Linked DNA regions of Drosophila melanogaster. The protein of the gene in region 2 interacts with the protein of the main gene of each other region in a pairwise test. Each region holds a gene or a part of one and is shown on either strand. Other genes may lie near its edges.

What was found.
Region 1: the proteins of psq (region 2) and lolal interact in a two-hybrid assay, tested with the Drosophila melanogaster proteins (one study listed by BioGRID).

The regions. Positions count from the first base shown.
Region 1 is NT_033778.4:18,151,625-18,162,492, forward strand, and holds lolal (lola like), read right to left. Parts: upstream 6,395-10,868; 5' UTR 6,318-6,394; exon of another isoform or gene 6,136-6,317; intron 5,269-6,135; exon of another isoform or gene 5,123-5,268; intron 4,756-5,122; exon of another isoform or gene 4,542-4,755; 5' UTR 4,370-4,541; coding exon 4,268-4,369; intron 3,868-4,267; coding exon 3,781-3,867; intron 3,719-3,780; coding exon 3,524-3,718; 3' UTR 2,471-3,523; downstream 1-2,470. Other genes in the region: adp (adipose), read left to right, coding at 270-1,017, 1,084-2,222; CG10914 (uncharacterized protein), read left to right, coding at 6,672-8,546; Naus (nausicaa), read left to right, coding at 9,405-10,251, 10,328-10,514, 10,583-10,704. UniProt on the Drosophila melanogaster protein: Required, together with Trl, for maintaining the repressed state of target genes including homeotic genes Scr and Ubx. May also be involved in the activation of homeotic genes. Binds to a DNA Polycomb response element (PRE) at the bithorax complex.
Region 2 is NT_033778.4:10,553,542-10,562,975, reverse strand, and holds the start of psq (pipsqueak), read right to left. Parts: upstream 5,089-9,434; 5' UTR 4,600-5,088; exon of another isoform or gene 4,443-4,599; intron 1,291-4,442; 5' UTR 1,172-1,290; coding exon 1,022-1,171; intron 951-1,021; coding exon 786-950; intron 1-785.

The DNA.
Region 1 (10,868 bases), 7.6 Mb from region 2:
TCTTTCACTTCTCGGGTGTTTAAAAAAAGAAATACTTTTTCCATAACTGAAATTTGGTTGTTCGATCCCGTAAGCTAACGCAAACCGTTACGGCGATACGCGCTGGCCTGGCAACGCCGCGCACAGGTGTCAACAACAGCAAAGTTGTTGATGGAAGGGGGGCGAAGCGGGGCAGGGGAAATCAGCGAATGCAAAATGAATTAAACGGAGAACGAGACGAAAACAAACGGAAACAAGTGTCATAATCCTATCCACAGCAGTCGGAGATAATGTCGAGCGATGAACTGTATCGCGTAAAGTACTCTAGTTCGCGCTATCAGCGCCAGCACACGCCCTTGAACGCCAGCTCCTTGCATTGGCAGCGCCAGCAATACGGTCATGAGCTGGACGAGATGCTCCGGCGACGTCTGCTGGCATCGCCGGCCTACGTGGACAGGCTGGAGCAGGAGGCAGTGCTCGTCGGTCACGAGGGCTGCGTCAACTGTCTGGAGTGGACCACTGATGGTATGTGGCTGGCCTCCGGATCCGACGACTATCGTGTGATGATCTGGGATCCGTTCCGAAAGAAGCTTGTTCATGTCATCAGGACCAAGCATCTGGGCAATGTGTTCTCTGTAAAATTTCTGCCCAAGACCAACAACAGCATTGTGGCTACGTGTGCAGCGGATAAGTTCATCTACGTCTACGACATCAACGACCCGAACGAGACCCTTTTTTCTTGCATTTGCCATTTTTCTCGGGCGAAGCGCTTGGCCACCGCCCAGGACTCGCCGCACGTCTTTTGGTCGGCGGGAGAGGATGGTTGCATCCTGCAGCTAGATATACGTGAGCCACATCGCTGCCGTCCCGAGGAAGGTATTGGTGTCAGGCTCTTGAACCTGCACGATCAGTTGGAGAACACAGAGGCCAAATGTCTGGCTATAAATCCCCGAAGGACGGAATACCTGGCCGTGGGCACCAACGATCCCTTTGCCCGGGTGTACGATCGCCGCAAGCTGCCCTCCACCAACGGCAATGGTGAGTACTTGAATTTGTAGGCGCTGCAGCTCATACATATGCATATTGAACTCTTATCCCTTTAAGGTCTCTCTGCCTGCGTGGCGTACTATGCACCCGGACAGATCGTGAAAAACATCAGCCGGAACATTGTCCACGAGCCACGGGGAATCACTTATCTTACGTTCAATGGCAATGGCACAGAGCTTTTGGTCAACATAGGCTGCGAGCACGTCTACCGCTTTGATCTGAATCACGCTGAGCCTCCGGTTTTCTACGATCTGCCCGCCTTCACATCAACACTCGTTCACGAGGAGGAGCCGGTGAAGATGCCACACAGAAGTCGCTCGCTGCCAACCGAAATAGAGGTGTATAAGAAGGAGGGCAATGACTTTCTTGAGAACGGCAAACTTGTAGATGCAATTGATGCTTACTCAGCGGCTTTGGCGAAATATCCACAAGGAGAGGTCCTCTATCTGAACAGAGCGACGGCTCTAATGCGACGCGGCTGGTTTGGTGATATATATGCGGCACTTAGGGACTGCCACGAGGCCCTGCGTCTGGATCCCAGTTATGTGAAGGCCCACTTTCGGCTGGCCAGGGCATTGCTTGAGCTGCATCGACCCCAGGATGCGGATCAGTGCTTGCAGGCACTAATTCAGCGTTTCCCCGACTTCGCCAACAATCACGGCGTGCTCATGCTGAACAAGGACATCAAGGAGAATCGACGACAGTCAAAGAGCCCCGAGGCACCCGAGCTACAGCCGGTGGAAGTGGATGATGGCTTCCGCTACCTGCGTCTGAAGAACGCCGAATATGATCTCCGTTCCACGGCACGCGACTATATGCAACGCTATGTGGGCCACTGCAACGTCACGACGGACATAAAGGAGGCCAACTATTTGGGCAGCCAGGGCGAGTTCATAGCCGCTGGTTCGGATGACGGCAACATGTACATTTGGGAGGGAGACACGGGCAAGATACGCGCCGTTTATCGGGCGGACAGTGCCATCGTGAATTGCGTGCAGCCGCATCCGAGCATCTGCATGCTGGCCACCAGTGGCATTGACCATAACATTAAGATCTGGTCGCCGTGCGCCGCCAGCGCCGAGGAGCGACCCAATCTCGTGGCGGATGTGACGCGTTTCGTTGAGGATAACCAGGAGAAGATGCGCCTCGATCCATTCGAACTGCACACGCGCAATGCGTACTGTTTCAATAATTAGGAACTGTGGCTTATTGTGCATCTTGATCTATATTGGCTGCATGCATGTGCAACAGCAAGCGAGATCCAATCGGCAATATATCAAATATTAGTGTAATTTAAGCTAAGCGAACATATTTTTGTTAATTTGTAAACGAATTACTCTGTATACAAAGTACGAAGCTTATGAAGGATGTTATGAAAGACTATTAAAATAAATGCAGACATGCAAATCGACCGGTTTTCGAATCGTAATTTAATGAAAAGCTCAGGATGATTTGCATTTGTTTTTTTTTTTTTTTTGTTTTAATTATTCTGTTTATTTACCGTAGTTTCTTTAAATCTATGCTCACATGTATACATATACATACATATAAATATTTTACTTTATGTAATAATATTCAAGTATAGTTTTTACTCAAGTTGTATTTTTCATTCTAACGTATTTCCTTACTCTTTTGTTTAAACTGTGTAGAACTGCTAGCTTCGCACTGAAACACCTTTTCTTCGTTTTGTTATTAATACAATATATGTATGTATCTCGCGTATGATCAGAAGTTGGGGAAAAACGCGCTTGTCCACACACAATTAATTGAAGTACAATTTTGCATTTGTTTCTATTTTATTGTTTAAATATAGATGAAAATGAGTTTGTCTGTCTGGAGGCGTGGCATGTCTGGGGTTGTAGTTAGTGGCTTAAAAACTAACCGAATGTGTTGTAATATTCGCGCCCGTCGTGGCTTTTTCCATCTACTTGCACATTTCACACTATATTTATAATTATCTTTATATATTTTAAATGGATCTTCTTTAATTACTTTACAAAAGTGCGTTTTTTGTTTTGTTTCGTTTCGTTATGTTTTGTTTTGCTTTAGGGGCTGCTGTCCATATCGTTTTATTTATACAGAGTGGTTTGTATTGTTAATAATATATTACAAACTATTTTATGCAGAAATTAAACAAAAAGAATTCAAATCGAGTTCTGTGGGGTTGTCGGTAAGTGTTGTTTTTTTTTTTTTTGCAATTTGGTTGATCAGATGTGAATGAGCGGGTGTGGGAGTGGGCGGGCGGATTTGGCCTCCACCTCTACTTTACAGGCTAATCATTTCAATCTGTCCAGCTTTAGCTTTGTGTGGTCATTTGTTGGCGTTCTTCATCCTCCTCGTGCACTCTTATATGAATTTGTATACCAAATGTCGTTCTCGTAATGTTGTTTCTTTTGCCGCTGGTTGGAATTTTGTTTTCTTGCGTACATATAAGTTTCTTATAGTTGGTTGTTGTTATTTATTATGTATTTTTTGTTTCGATTATTGTTTAATACCATCAACCTTCCCGCTTTATCGAACTGGGTGTCTCTGCGAGGCCTTTCACTTTGAGGCGATCGGCGGTCTTAAGAAATGCTGGCAATTGTTCCTGGGACACGTTCACCTCACCGGCGTACATGAACTCCAGTATAGCCTGTAGGTGAATGTAGGAGACATCTTTCAGGATAATGATCGGATGCTTCGATGGGTTCTCCTGCGGGTGCATACATTACATTATCAAACGATTGCTTAGTTATTACCGCGTGAAAAACTCACCTCCAGTAGCGCTTTAAAGTAGGGACTGCAAGCGGAAAGCACCATTTTGTGGGCTTTGCAGGTTTGGCCCTCGCAGGCGAGTGTTACCTGTGAACAATAAGCATTGGGAAATCAGTAAGATCCGCCAGGCATTTTCACCGCAACAAATTGAACAAAAACGCAGAGCGAAGAACGAACACAGGTAAAAGAAAAACGAATTGAAAATAGCGTGAGGGCCAGGTATCTGCTACTCAGACCAACTGAGCTCAGCCGGTGACTGACCCTCCACAAGGGGCGGCCGCGAGCCAATCGGGCCAAGAGTAGCATAATAAACCTCAGCGCGCCCCTGGGACTGGTTAACTACAGTCGAACTTCTATGGCTTGATTTTGACTGAATTTATAAGTAACTTCAAAATATATTGACATCTAATATCATCATTCTAACTAATAGTTCGACTGCAATAGTTTTTCCATCGCCGCTTCTGGAAAGTTTCATTTGGTTACTCACATCTGTGAAGCTCTTCTCGTCGCGCAGGTGACGGAACGAGGTCACCATATTCGTTTGAAAATCGTTCCATTTTAGAAAGAACTGTTGATCCGACGACATCATGAAGAAGCTTTTGTTTTGTGGGGGCGTCGCGCTCGCTGAACAGAATGCTGGGAGGGGGGTGGGCAGGAGGCTTAATTTGGACTAGTGACCGAAAGGTTCACCGTTAGATGGTCTTAATTCGCAGCGGACCGCTTAATCCGTGGGTTTTCGCTTGGGTTTTCTTTGACGCACTCTGCAAGAGAAGTAAACAGACAGCATTAGTGAACGAACGGTAACGGCAAGGCAGAGTAAGACAAACAAACAACAGCTTGGCGAAATTAGCAGTGAACGTTACGAGAGCATTGCAAAACAGCACGTCTCTTGGCCAAAAGTATTCTGCAAATATAAATGTGCTGCGGCGCATGTGCAGCGTTTGTGCAGTGGGAAATGGGAGTTCGGAATGCACAGCGTTGTTACTCTGTACATGTGTGAGTGAGCTGGAAAATGTCAAAGTGCTGAGACAGCGCTAAATAAAAACAGCAAACAGCTGCCAGCAAAGGTTAAGCAAAGAGGCAAAAATATCAAATCGTCGCTGGCTCGCTCTGTTGAATGCCTTTCACTTTTCAAGGCAATTTCTGCATTTTCAGTCGTACACACATGTGTACTTATTGCTTATTTGAATTCGTATGCGGCACAGTGGCTTAGAACGCGGAATTAGTCTGTTGCACGCGATGCACGCTGCAGCTGCCGATGGCAATGTATTTTTAGGCGCACTCCAGTTAAATAGCATTCATTCCGTGATTTTTGACCAAAAAAGAACCAAGATGGCGGCACCATTCGCACTTCCATTCAGTGACTTTGTCTTAATTTCACTCCCACTCCATCCCACTGTGCGGCCAACATGTGTTTTTCTTCTTGAGGAAATAGCGTTGTTGTTGATGCGACTCTCATATGCGCTACACTGGCAGCCGGCTGTATGTTTCTGCGTGGGCGGGGGAGAGCAGGGCATATAGTTTGCCGCCAGAGCTTAAACTTTAGTCTCACGCTCTCTGTGTCCCTCGTTCTCTTTCGCTAAGCGCTCTCAACTTTCAACTGCCGTTATGATTTCGCAATTACATTACAACAACAACAACTTAAAAGGCAGAGCAGACATCGCTGGAAATTCAGCTGCATAAGTGTAAGTGTGTGGCTGTGTGCGAGTGTGGGTAGGCGGCGGCAACTATCTCGCTTGCTCTTGCGCCCGGGGTTATCGGTAGCTTCTTCTAGGCTGAGTGCATTTCGTTGAATCATGGATGTTGAAAGTTGTCTAATTTCCGAACTATTGATTTTTCCCCTTCCCCGTCAAGAAACTGCATTGTTGCTTCTTGAAGACCAGTTTTGGTAACATCAGGAGAATGGAAAGGAGCGAGTGAGTCGGTGAGTAAGTGAGTGAGCGATGCGAGCGACAAAATCAACAACAACAACAACAACAACGGTTCAAAACGAGTTCCAACGAAAGTTGCAACACTCTCAACAATTTGAGCAGCTCCGTTTGTTGTTATTGCATTACTCAATCGGGAAGAACTCTACACTCGACGGAATAGTGTGCTCGTCTGAGATTTATTCTATTTCAATTCTTTTCTTTTGTTTTTGGTCAGACAATGGCGTCGGCAAACGTTCGTGGAAAGCCGCAGGAACCACCAAAATGCCTGGCGTCACATTAACCGAGCCGCCTTTGTTTATGCAAATATTATTGTAATATTTGGTTAAAATTAGGTCGCGCTTCGCGTTACTTTTTATTTCATATACACGCAGCAGCAGCACGCATACAGTCACGTCACGCACACATACAATCGCCGTTCACATACACTTGTCTTTTTTCCACACACTTTCCTAATCATTTTATTTGTTGTGCGCTGCTGCTTTTTACTCGGCGTGTACTCTGTACTTTTACCAATGCGTATATCGCCTGCCGACCGCCGCAGGAGCACGCTAATTGCGCCGTGGACACGCTTTTTCTATATCTTTTTGTTTCAATTTTAATACATACACGCTTTTTTTTTGTCCCGCACTTAACTCACCTCTGCTTTCTCGCTAACGCTGCTTTCTTTTTTCTCTTTCACCGATTTCGATTTTCGATACACTCGTGATTGTTCGATATGAATCGGCCTAATTTCGATGCGTTTTGTTTTTTTCCAGTTAATGAACACAAATTAATGTACTGAAATATCTTTTATTCGATTTATAACACAAAAAGCATTGCTTGAATTGATGCTTGTTATTTTGTACGCCAAATAATATAACAATCGTTCAGATCTATCGGCTAGCAGCCCTGACTATGTAAATGGTTTCGTAGCAAACGGCTTTAGTCTGACACTGTGAGAATTCTTGTGGGCATTGCAAAATGTTTAAAACCACACGTTTATATAAAATTATAAATAAAAATGTGGTTATCACATGTTCGAGGCGGCAGAATACCGCCGCTGAAGTGGGACAGAGCTTTCGGCAGAGGGCGTGGCTGCTCGCCAGAGAGCGGTACAAGGATCATGAGCACGTTCATTACAGCTCTGTTCTGGAGACCAAAATAAAACCCTCTTTCTCGATTCCTGAGACACAACAGCATTTGCCCGACGACTGGATGGACGACTACGAGTTCTATCAGGGCGCCCAGGAGGGAGGGAATAAGCAGGGCACACCGGATCCTTCGTTACCCGCCTCAAAGGTTCCATGCAACGGCTGCGGCGCAGACCTTCATTGCACGAATGCCTCCCTGCCAGGCTATATACCAAGTGAAATATTCAGGGATAGGACGCAGCAGGAACTGCAAACGATCACCTGCAAGCGTTGTCACTTTCTGAACCACTACAACATCGCATTGGATGTGGTGGTGGCCCCATCGACCTATGTGGACACCATATCCCGCATTCAAGACAAATTTGCACTGGCTATTGTTCTGGTGGACCTTCTCGATTTTCCCTGCTCCATTTGGCCGGGCATGCAAAACATATTGGGCGCAAAGCGACCCGTCTTCCTGGTGGGCAACAAGGTCGATCTGCTGCCGCGCGACTCCAACATCTATCTTCAGCATATTAAGGATTCTCTGCAGCGCGAGTTCATCAAGCATGGCGGTGGAAATGGTCTAAATATCAAGAATGTCAGTTTGATATCCGCCAAAACGGGCTATGGCATCGAGGAGCTAATAACGCAGCTGCACAAAACGTGGGCCTACAAAGGCGATGTCTATCTGGTGGGCTGCACCAATGTGGGCAAGAGCTCGCTGTTCAACATTCTGCTTAACTCGGACTACTGCCGGCCGGAGGCCAGTGACCTGGTGCGCAAGGCCACCACCTGTCCGTGGCCGGGCACCACACTCAAACTGCTGCGGTTTCCAATCTTGCGTCCATCGAACGATCGAGTCTATCAGCGCTTTAAGAGATTGGTTTCGGAGCGCAGCGAGAAGGCGGAAATGGAAAAGGAGCGTCGCGCAGTGGCAAGGGAAACGGGTTCAGCGGCAGCTGCTCAACCAGTGGCTCCGGTTGGACGCACCTTCGATCGACGCGAAAATCTCCATGATGCCTTTGCCATGGCCGGTGGCTCGCGACCGATTACAACGCTAAACGATCGGGGCAAGGAGTACAAGGAAGCGCGTTGGGTCTACGACACACCGGGTGTGATGCAACCCGACCAAATATCTCCCCTGCTCACCGCCGAGGAGCTGGTAAAGCTGCAGCCCGCCACCATGATCCGACCGCGCGCCTTTCGGCTGCGGCCCCAGATGAGCATACTACTGGGCGGTTTGGCCAGATTGGATCTGCTGGAAATAACAAGCCCAAGGAAACACTTTGACTGGCTGAAGGTGTTTGTATTTGCCTCAGAGCATCTTCCCATCATGATAGCAGATACACAGGAGGCGGAAAGCGTGTACAAAAGATACGTGGGTTCGCCCTTTCTGGGTGTTCCCTTCGCTAGCGAGAACTTGGAGGCCCGCCTGCGACGCTGGCCGGGATTGCAATGCAAGGATGGGGATATTGTGCTGGCAAGTGAAGGAAGGAACGAGGAAACGAGGCTTAACTGTGATATTACGCTCAGCTCTGCGGGCTGGATGGGAATCCTGCTGCCGGGCCACTCGGAGTGTCGTCTACGGGCCTGGACACCAAAGGCGGCAGGGATTTACAGACGTGAACCGGCTTTAATACCTTTAGCCGATCGATTGGTTGGCAAGCACATAAGGTATTCCCTGGCCTACAACACCGCCAAGCCCTTTGTTTACAAAAAATAAAAAACAAATTGTTTATAAATTGTAAATAAATACAATTGTTTAAATTACTTAATAATATATTCTACCAAACTAAAGCAATTTGCACCGCTTTAGTTATTTTCAGCATACCCCGATTTTTATAATAAAGTTTGTGCTATTATATATTATATTTATGAACTTATAAATTTAAATATAGTTTCAAAACCCGTAACGGCGCCAAAAAGCAGACCCTTGCTTAACGTGCTTTGCAACACTGGCTACTCGCTACTCTTTTTTAAAGCGAGTTGGCAGCGCAGCGTACATAATCGGTGCTGCCGTTTTTTAATAAAAGATAAAAGCTGTTTATGGCTACATGGATTTTGGATATCATGAACATAGCACCTTTAGATACAATAAGCTTAACTTAACAGTATAGTAAAGAGTGTAAAAATATAACTCAAATAAAGTGCGTTTGGATATTTAAGAAAATGCTGACTAATTAAAAAACAGACGTTTATGTTCTTATCTTCCCGCCATGCGCAGCACTATCCTGCGACTAAGCCAGATCTGACGGGAATAAAGCTGAATCGGCAGCACTGCCGCAAGTATCCACTTTTTCACGGGCAACAAATTGACAAAGAAATTGTAAGATAATTTCCTGTGGCGATTGCTGCTTGCGCAAAGCCACTTGCCTTGAAAGCGGGCTTAAACAGAGTCCGGGCCAGAAGTTAAATATTGCAGAGAGCTTGCATACCGTGTAATTTGCGAACTGCGACGCACCAAACTTTTTTTTTTGTATGCCGTGAGCTGAGCGGAGGTGGAGATCGGGAGTTCGGAATCCGGAATCGGGAATTGGGCATTGGATATCGGGACGGGAGCCACACGAAAGAGTCGGCGGCAATGGAGCAGAACTCGAACAGCAGCGTTGCGGATACGTTTGCGGAGGCACCAGCGACGGACGCGGATTACGGCACTGAGAACTGTTCCGGATCCGGAATGTCGGTCGGCGACACCGTGAGCGCCAACCACGAGTTCCAGACCATGAAACCGGGTCCCGGTGTGGTGCACAAGGTGATGCCGGTGGCAAATAGCGCCAGCAGTGCTACCGCAACCAACGGACGCACGCGCTCCGAGATGCCGCACAGCGAGCTGGTGAAGATGCTGTACTACCTGGAGGGCGAGCTGCAGGCACGGGATGTCTGCATAGCCGCCCTGAGGAACGAGCGGGTAAAGCAGCTCATTGCACAGCTGCGCACCAAGCGACTGCAGCCGAACGATCCGTATGCGGCCATATTCCGGGACAAGATCGCACTCAATGGCAATCTGATATCAAGGGAATCGTCTACGCAGGCGGCGCAAGCGGAGATGGAGGTGCGCCAGATCATTGAGCAGCAAATGGAGCAGCAGTATCAGATGGTTAGCAAGCAGAGGGCCACGCATGTGCGTATGGTCAACATATTGACCGAATCGCTGGAAAACAATCAGCGTATGCTCCAGGAGCTGGAGGAGGAGAAGCGCAAGCACGAGAACACCACGGCTCAGGGTGACGACATCACCTACGGCCTGGAATTGGAGCGCAACAAGCTGAAGCAGGACCTAGAGGAGGAGCGCGCTCAGGTGGCCAAAATGGAGAAGGATCTGAAGAAGCTGCAGGAGACGCTCGAGTACGAGCGCAATCGACAAAAGCAGATTGTGCTGCTGTTGATTGCGGAGCGCAAAAAGATCCTCATGAAGTATATTGAAGAGGGTGCGTATGACCGTATGAAGATAAGATATGAAGATATCCACTTTGCTCATACAATAATATCTATGGGATTATACAGGGAAACGATCGGAGGATCTGGCCCAAATTCTGGCCGAGGAGAAGCAGCGCTCGGATACCATTGCCGAGGGTCTCGAGGAGGAGAGCAAAAAGTCGCTGCGCATGGAGGAGGAACTGGAGAAGCAAACGCATGCCATGGAGCAGGAGCGTAAAGTCCTGTTTGCCAAACTAGCCAAGGAGGAACTCCGGTTCGTCACGACGCCAGTCGTTACGTTCGAATGAACAAACTATATCATCTTCTACGTCTATTTTTCAGGGTCAAGGAGCTGGAGCAGGAACTCAACGCCCTACGGAGCGAGCACGAGGCTCTGAAAAAGCAGCAGCAACTGGGTGGCAGCGGCTCATCCGTGGCCGCCGCCAAGGCGCGACAGTTCAGCGGTGAGTTAGCCAGACAAGGCAATTCCACCTGGAAACTGGCTGTTGTAATTATACATATGGTTGCCCTCCTTATAATTTTCTATATACAAACTTTAACTCTATATATATATATTACTTTTTTTTCGAACTCCTCTTGAAGCCGAAATCTTTTGTTAGAAAAAATG
Region 2 (9,434 bases):
AAAAGTGGAAGCTTGTAGAGAAGGGGTTTTCCGAGGAAGTGGGGGGAGGGGAGGGGAGGGGGGTTGTAGCTCTGCCCAGATAAGAACGACCCTGAAAGCAATTGTGCACATACTATTACTACTGCTCTCCCCCTTCATATTTGTGCGTTCAATTTAAAAAAGAACCACTTTTGTGGTCGGGCTATTTCGATGTTATTTTGTTTTGTTGACAAACCGATTAGCAGGTGGTAATTGTGGGTGCAGTGTATTTCATAGCTGATGGCCACTGGAATTTGAACGTTAGAACTTTCTCGTTTCGGTAGAATAGCCCATTTATTGTAGCACAGTTGTTTAGTAAATAGAATTATATCCAAATGATATATAAATCTAGATATGCTCGATTTTACGCCTATTCATAATCGTGTATTTTCATTTCATTCGGGTTTTTACGAAATATAAAGATTAACGGGTATTAGAGATAGGAATAAAGATTTCAAAAATAGTCTCATAATACAGTTAACTTATCCGCAAAACAGAAACATTCACATATCGACACCTTTCAATTGCGAGAAATATATAAATAAATACTTCCGCCTAATTAAACCCATTTTATGGCAACACATTTGGAAAGATATGATAAAATATAAACATGAAAATCTAGATAATTATACTCGTACATCAGATACTTCCGATTTCAGATGAAATTCCTTTGTATTTCTATATATATTCTCTATTATATCGTTCTTACAATGATAAATCTATTTTAGAATCACCTGCAAAAACTAACAACTAGTATATCGACTCACCTGTAATTCCGATTCGGTGACGTCGATTTCACCACGATAAACAAAATCGATGATCGTTTTCAGGTCGGTGAAGATAATGTCGGCGGGAAGGATAATTGTGGGATGTTTGCACGGATTCTCGAGCAGTAGTTTTTGGAAATACGTCGAACAGGCGGACAGGACGACCTGGAGTTTTTGAACAAAAGTTTGATTAGCTTCATAACTATAGTGTAGATACATATATCGAGATACTTCACCTTGTGCGCCTTGAGGGATCCATGCTCGCAGGACAGAGTGACGTCCACAAAGGAGAGATCCTCGCGCAGCTGCTGAAACACGGACGTCATCGTGTTCTGGTAGTTATTCCAGCGCAGACTGAAATACTGATGTCCTCGAACCGCTGCCATTTCGTATGGTTTTTCGTATTCGTTTCACGCCGAATCCTAGCTGAATTCCTGTTGCTCACTTTTGTTTATGCTTGTGGCGTGCTCAACACGCTGCGGAAATGTGTGTATACTCCAGTATACTGCGGGAAAAGCCGAAGAAAATCATCAATTTAATGCGGTTCACTCGAGGAGTTGCAATGGCAAATCATCAATCAATACAGAGACTTTAAGGACAACTGGCTGCATCCTCCTATCTGAGTTCTTGGCGAATTGCCGTTCCCGATGCAACTGAACCACCACCAACCACATGTTGAAGATGCCACAAAAGGAGTTGCAGCCAGTCGGTCCATTGTGTTCGAGAGCCTTACAGCGCCTTACAACGAGTTACAGGGAATAAGACGCAAAGTGGGAGGTGGCGGGCAGGGGGGTGGGGGGTGGATAAACTATGCCGAAGACAGGTAGGAGGAATAGTCAATGGCTATCAGGCTATGCAGGTCGAATTGTAAATGCCCTATGGGAAATATGGTAATTAACGATTGTAGCACCCTGAACAGCTAACATAAAAATAGTTTTTAAGTTCTTGAAGTATTAAGTTCCCTTCAACTCTCTATTTTGATAACTCTATAAGAATAATAAAACTAAAAACGTTTTCATTCAAGTTCGTATGAATTGAAGAACAATTTTTAATTACTTTTGAACCGAGACTTTAGCACTTTCAAGAGATTTAGATCACAATATGCTAATGCATTTGAAGTCCTGATTTTCAAAACAAACTTATTAGTTTCTATCCCTAGAAGGTTTTCTGTAGCAGCCTATTTAACTTAAGTTTAACCCACCAAAAACAATTTAGTATGCTTTCCCAATCTGTTTAGAGTAAAAATAATCCAATGAATATGATTACCGAAGAGAATCAAAATTACTTGTATATGAATGAACATTCCATTCAAGCTAATTTATTTTGTTTTATTTTCGAACATAAGTTACCTTTTTTTTTAAAGCTTATGAGCTCAACGAATAGTTACTATTTTAACTTTATTTAGTGCTGGTCATGTCGCGTGGTTTTTAGCACCGCCGGAATGGTTTTGTTTTGCACATTTTCATGTAAAATGTTGGGCCAGGCCAGAAGGAAGAAAACCGAAACTGAAACCAGTTTTCAGTGAAACTTCATTTTTGTATGCCCTTTTAAAAGGGTATCATAGTATGGTCACATGTTTACAACAAAATAAATGGTATTTTCAAATAAAACGCTCTTTTTACACTACATTTTTCCATTTACTACTAGTTTTTAAATTAATTAACATTCAAACAAAATCCCCAAGTAGCAGTTAGAGTATCTGAAATCAGTGTTTTTCGGATTAAATTCCCTTTCTCGTTTTCAATGGCACGTATTGGTGCCTGCAAGTTGTTTTTGCTAGTTGGGGCATTGTCAAAAAAAAAAAGGAAGGAACATAAAAAAGAATAATAGGAATGCTGAAAGGATGCTCGAGGAGGCAACTTGCCGTGCAAATAAAATGGGAGGCAATGGAGCGACGAAGAGGCGGACAGAGAGGAGATGCCAACTTTTGCTTGCAACTTCCAATGCGGAGGCTAAAATGCAACCACAATTTTATGCCGAACAATAAGTCAGATTTTCAAGGGATTTCTTTATTACAAAGTTACAGTTGCCACAGTGGATACTCAAAGAGATGTTTTTGATTTGATTTATTCGAAATCTATCTTTGTTTACAAATTTCGAAGTCAAATTAAGAAAAATAATAAGAAAATTTATAGTTGCATTTTCCAAACTTGTTTTATTTTAAATTATTTGCATTTATTGTATATGTAAAAGTTTACGAGCTTAAGGCTGCTCCACTGTATTTGCATTTCATTTCGCAGAAGACTCGCAATCAAAACAAAACGGCGGCAAGAAAAGGTGTGAAAGAAAGAGGAAGACTAGGTGTTGCCACCCACTCGAAAATCGGCGGGCCTCTCAGCCGCGCTCTCTCCATGTCTCTCTCTTCGTTTCGGACAGAGAGACTTATCATTAAACGCGCATTATGCGGTCCGTTCGTCCGCGTTGTTACTGCTCTTCTTCTTACATTACTAGACCAATTCCACGTTTTTTTTTTTTTATATTGTTCGTCCCATTGTTGCCTTCTCGCTCACACACACACATGCAGCGATTTGCCGCCTTTTGGAGCCTCTTCTTCTGCATTTTCCCCGTCTTTCTCTTACTTTGTGCATGTTTATTTGGCAAATGGATAATGTGTGTTCGTGTTTTTTGTATGTTTGTGCTATTGCTTTTTCACTTTTTCTTGCCCTTTAATATTTCCTCACTGCACTTTATGTTTCTACACCCTACCCGACCTACGGACGGCCTATTGATTCTTATAAGATCTACATTGATGATTGTAACATCACTGCATAAGGCAATGTAAATCTTTATATAAAATGATAAGTACGTATAATTTAGAACTTAAATAAAATAAATTTATTCGTATTAATTATATATGAATGCTTTTAACAACCTTCATCTCCTACAAAAAGTAAGTGCTATACTTTTGGTTTATTTTATTAGCAATCTTGCACTTTGTACTAAATATTTATTGGATTTTGGATTGGATTTTGAGTTTTTTTTTAGCCGGCTAGAAATGTTTATTTTTGCTAGTTTTGCTTGACTTAATAAGAATAACAAGAGTTTCTGTTGCAGAATAATGAAATACCCACCCCACTGTGTCGACTGTGACCACTATCAAACCCTTTTGTACCCACTGTGGCATTCCAGGCAAACCAACTTCGTTTTCGTTACGTCTCCTCTTCACCCGTGCATGGTGTGCATGCGAGCGAGCGAGACGGCAATGTTGCGGGGAGAGAGAGAAGAAGGGGACAACGTAAAGTAGAAGAAGAAGAAGAAGAGGGGGGGAGGCAAAGGCGCAAGACAAATGACAGCGCGCTACGAAATGAGTGAGTGGGTGAAGGAGAGGCGAAAGAAAATGGATTTTAAACATTTTTGTTTTGATTATTATTGTTCTTGTTCGTCGCAAAACTTTGCAAAGTAAAAGGGGCAAAGGGAGCGCAAAAGCGGAGAACACAGTGAGAGAGAGAGTGAGAGGGAGCAAGAGTTGGTGAGCGGTGTAATGCAAATGTAATGCTGAACAATTACATTTGCCAATTGAAGCCAATTGAAAGGTTTGCAGTATTTTGTTGCTTCTTTCTTTTGCCCATTTATTTGCACCCATTTTACTGCACTCTGCAAACAACAAATATGTTCGGCTCTTATTTTTAGTTTAGTTTGTGGGGCCTCTGTCCTTACCTTTTCGCTATTTATATTTGATTTTCGCTGCTGCTGCAATTTGCCGCCTGCCTTTTTGCATAATAATAGAGGAAATACGTCAAAGAGTTCCCGTTACGTTGCGTATTTGTTGTTGCTTCTAGTTTATTTTTTTGTATCGTACTGTATGCGTATTTACCGCCAGTTTTGTGTTGTTGTTTTTGCTGCCGCTTGTCGTGTGTTTTTGTTGCTTCTGCTGTTTTTCGTTTGTTGGCCTTTTTGCTTTTCTTTTTTTTAAATCAATTATTGTATGGTTTTTTATTTTTATTTCTCGCTACGCCTTCTGCTTCTACGCTCGCTCACTAACACACGCGCGCACGCACCACACGTACACACACACACACGCATTGCGATTGGTTTTTCATAATTCGCAAAGCAAGAAACTTAAATTTGATTCTATTTGATTTTACTGGGCTGGCACGCTATCGCTACATATTTCTTGCCATTTGGCTAACCATTTGCATTGGCGCCGCACTTTGACCGCTTCATAATGGGCCGATTAAATTTCTCAACCGCGCTTTTCCGCACTCTTTTTCGCGCACGCACCGAATTTCGCTGGCAAAACGGAATTTAAAATAATAATTATTTTTTCAGCTCGTCGTTCATCGGAGTGCTCGTGTTCGCCATTTTCGTGTGGCGCTGCCAGATCGCCGCAAGGTGCTAAAATGTAGCAAAAGGTGCTCAAAGGCTGAAAACTACTTGGGTAGTGTTTCCAAATAGTAGATAACTTGCTTTAAAATTGAGTGAGAACTCATTTGGATTTTCTATTGTGTAAAAAACTGTATTATTTATGCAACTACTTATTAGTTTCTAACTAGGTGGCATCGCCTTATCGGGTCTTCTTTGCTTCGCCGCTCGATTCAGCTGGTCGTCCCGCTTGCACCTATTGCATTTCCTATATTGATTTTTTTGCTACGGACTTTGATATGGGCGCGCAGAAACTGAAAATTCAAAAAATTAAATATTACAAAATGTACGTTAATAAAATGATGTATCTTCATACATTTAATCAGTTCTTTTATAATGTGAAATCCATAAGTGCTTCCAGGATTAAATGAGTTTTTTTGCTTGTAGAATTATTTTATTTATAAATATAATGCTTTAAAATTGAAAGTTGGAGGTTTTCCGTAATACCAATAAAAACATAATATATAAAATGCTTTAGAAGTATTGAAATATACATTTATTTCAAGCATTTATTATTATTTATTGAGTTTGTAAAAGGATTTCTTACATGTAATATACATTTCAGAGCTGCCACCTAGTTGCGCAGCGAGCCCAGCGAAAGCTGGTTGCTATGAAAATATCGACTGTCATTATATATTATCGATATGTTGGCGCCCACTCAGTTCAAATTCGAATGCAATAGTCCCATAAAACTCGATCATTACACTGAATTTTAGAAACTCGTTTAATGCTCGTGTGCGTGCAAGTCATGATTGCTAAAATGCCAGAAACTCTATGTATTTATAATGAGCAAATAAATATTCGCCACCAACAGTGCTCGTATTTGCATAATGAAGGCGAAACCATTCAAATGAGTTGCACTTTTTCCGCTGTCTCAATTTGTATAAATATGTGCGAGTGGGTGGGAGTCGCCTAGCCCCCATAAAAAACCATAAAAAAAACGAAGCTAGCATACAAAACGACTGATTTGCAGCGTAAACCATATGAGTTTGTATGTACACATTTAGGTACATATCTATATATACATATAGAGATTTGCATTTGGATGCGTGGAGCCGCGGGTAAAAGCTAATAGCTAATGGAGAACTTACGTGCCAATTGACATTCATGAGTCCCAAGGCCGAATACATTAAAATAATTGCATGTTCTAGCTCCACGGCAATGGAATGGTGAATAGTGAAACACAACATCAGCAGCAAAAAAAAAAAATTAAACATACATAATTGTAGCATGATCGGATCGGGAAATAATTGCTCCGGTTTTCCCACTTTCCAGTGCGGAAAAATCAAACGAATGTGGGCCGTGGAAGGGGGGGCCTGGAAGTGGGAACCCATTGAGGTCGTTCCAGCAATTGACGTGTGCACCTATTTACCCGACGAAAAACACGCAGCTATGCTATGCCCATGTACATATGTATATAGTGTATATGCCTTATAATTATAGGCGCACATAGGCCACCGAAATACCCATCCCCCCTTTCCCCCCGCCACAAAACCCACAAACGCACCCTACTCCATTCGAAAAACCCCATTCGGCAGACCCATAAACATGCTATATGCATTTAAGCACACACATATCGCATTTGCTTAGTTACTTGCACTGCGGATTGAGTGGCGGGTGGAACTTTTCGTGTCACGAGGCTGAATCATTTGAGTTAATCGGTCAAATCTAAATATATATACTTATGCCAAAATATTATAGAATACCTTCCATATACAATTTCAAATATTTAGAATTCATTTTGCCCAAACTCTAAATCTAAATCTAAATATCTTAAATTGCACAGGAACAAAGAATTTCATAAGTTTTTAGGAAGAACTTTTAAGAGTTTCTGTGATCATTTTATTGCGGAAAAATCTCCTATAAATGGCATAAATATGAAAGTACATTGTACAAATACATAAATTAGCAAAACTTTAAATTTAAGATTATGTTCTATTTTATAAGGTAGTGTAATTAACGTGTAGAATAGCTAAAAATACAATAGGTTCATATGAATATTAAGTTGATTTTATGTTCGAATGCATTCATTGTTTTCAAAGGTTTCTTTTTTGGAGCAATTTAGATACATAGCTTTAGCTGCAAACTCAATGCTCCTATAAATATTCATATTAAAGTGGGAGTTTCAATGCTCCCCAATGTAATCCCAGTTAATCAGTATTGATTTAACATGCCCCCACCACCCACCAAAATTCCCGTTGACGTGCCATCTCTAAAAACACACACACGCACAGGTTCCACAATTAGAGAAGGACAAACAAACAAAACAAAAGATCCCCCACACCAACAAAGAGGCCACAACAACAACAACAACAACAGTAATTGGGATCGAAATGGAAACAGCGCGCTGCTCCAAAAAAAGCATAAAGCACGTAAATGGAAAATGCACAGAGTGGGGGAGCGGAGAAAGAAACCCGCTGGAGAAAGAGAACGAGAGAAAGGGGGCGAGAGAGAGAGAGAGAGCGATTGGGAGTCGGAAAATGAGAGTGAGCGCATTAGAATCGCTCTGCTGCAACAATTAATGCATATTAAGGTCAGCATTTTGCCCTTCTGCTCTGCTTTGAAAAAGAGACAAGTGTGGCCCACAGGTGGCGCCAGTGGTTCTAAATTACAACTGGCAAAAGGTGTAATATTCTAAGGTTTACACCAGAAAAACAAGAAATTTGTGTTTAAAAATCATAAACTTTATAATATTTTTACTTGTAAAAGTAATATTTATTGGCGTTCATTGAGTAAGAGGCTTTAGTTAAGGAAATGAATACTTGTAAGTTGTACTCATAACAAATAAACAAATAAATCGCAAAGACAATTGAGACATTGTTAAACAATTTTCTATAGATAACGAGTTTAAATTACAGTTAAATATAGAAGATTTGCATTTTCATGTGTATGAATTATGGGTCTGGAATGTTTTATGTAATTGATGATCAACAATATTAAACACTTTTCTATTCCTGTTAAATTCAATTGTATCTATTTCAATTTTGTAATGTTGTGAGTAAATTAAAAAAAAAATAATATGTTTTATATCATGTTAAAGTTACAAGAATAAATACATTATGTTCAATGGGAAAATCAACAGTTTTATTTTTTAAATTTTTAAGCATTTGGGTGAAAATTCGAGTTGTGAAAGATCGATGGAGCGAATAAACATAAATAGCGCTGATTTCACGGTCGATGATCCACAAACTGGGCTCCCAAAACAGATAAAAGTGATGCCAATGAGCATACAGCCCACTCGAAAAGCCGAAAAACTTCTGTTTTTGGCATGGAAAGGAAGCAACAACAACAGCAGCAACAACCAGTTAACAAAAGCCACAATTTACAGAGCGATTGACGTCATTTGGAAGGTTTATACATTTTTTTTCTATGGAAAAGTTTATGTAAGTCTGTGGGCAGAAAATGTGTGTGCATGTGTGCGTGTATGTGTGGCTGTATTAGTGCGCGTGTTGGGCGACAAGTGCAATGCATTTCTTGAATGGTGCGCATGCACTCACCCCGTCGCCACCCCCCTTGCCAACCCTTCTACCGCCCGCCGCCGAAAACCGAGAGAGCAAAGGAGAGAGCAGGCGAGAGAGAGGGAGTCGCAGAGCTTTTATGAGTGTGTGCAAAGCAATTTCATGTCATAAGTGCATAAAAATTGCAAGGCCCTGAAAAGCGGTTCGCTTCACATGACAAACATTAGATTTATCAGTCGAGCTCTCTCTCTCTCTCTGTCTCTATCACTCTCTTTCTGTCTCTCTCGCTGTTATCGCTATCTCTTTCGTGGTCGCTCCAGCGCTCATTATCTAATGTTCACTTTAGAGGTTTTTGCAAAAAAAAAAGTGAAAGAGTTAAAACTATAACCTGCCCTAGAACTTTTTTTTTCACATACTAACTTATGCACACACGCGTAGATAAAAAGTTCGTAGGCAAGTACAGTAGTGGCCAATGGAATAGCACCTTGCAGCTGCAACTACTAACTGAGATTACAGCTATTACGAACTTTAAGTTTTGAGTTGGAAAGTGAGTTGTATTTGTTTGTAAATCATTAAAGTCTTGCAGTTTAAAAAAAATGAATTTTATATTTTGCTTAAACTTTTGGAAATGTTTCAGAAGAATATTTAATTATTTTGAAAATAGTTATAAGGCACGATCAAATGAACTAATGATTAAGCTTGAGCTGATTAAAACAACCAGTAGCTATGCTCATTATTTTAACAAGAATTAGTAAAGATATAAGATAAGATACATGCATTTTTAAATGATTTCAATTCTAATCCGCACAGATTGTTCAACATAATAGCT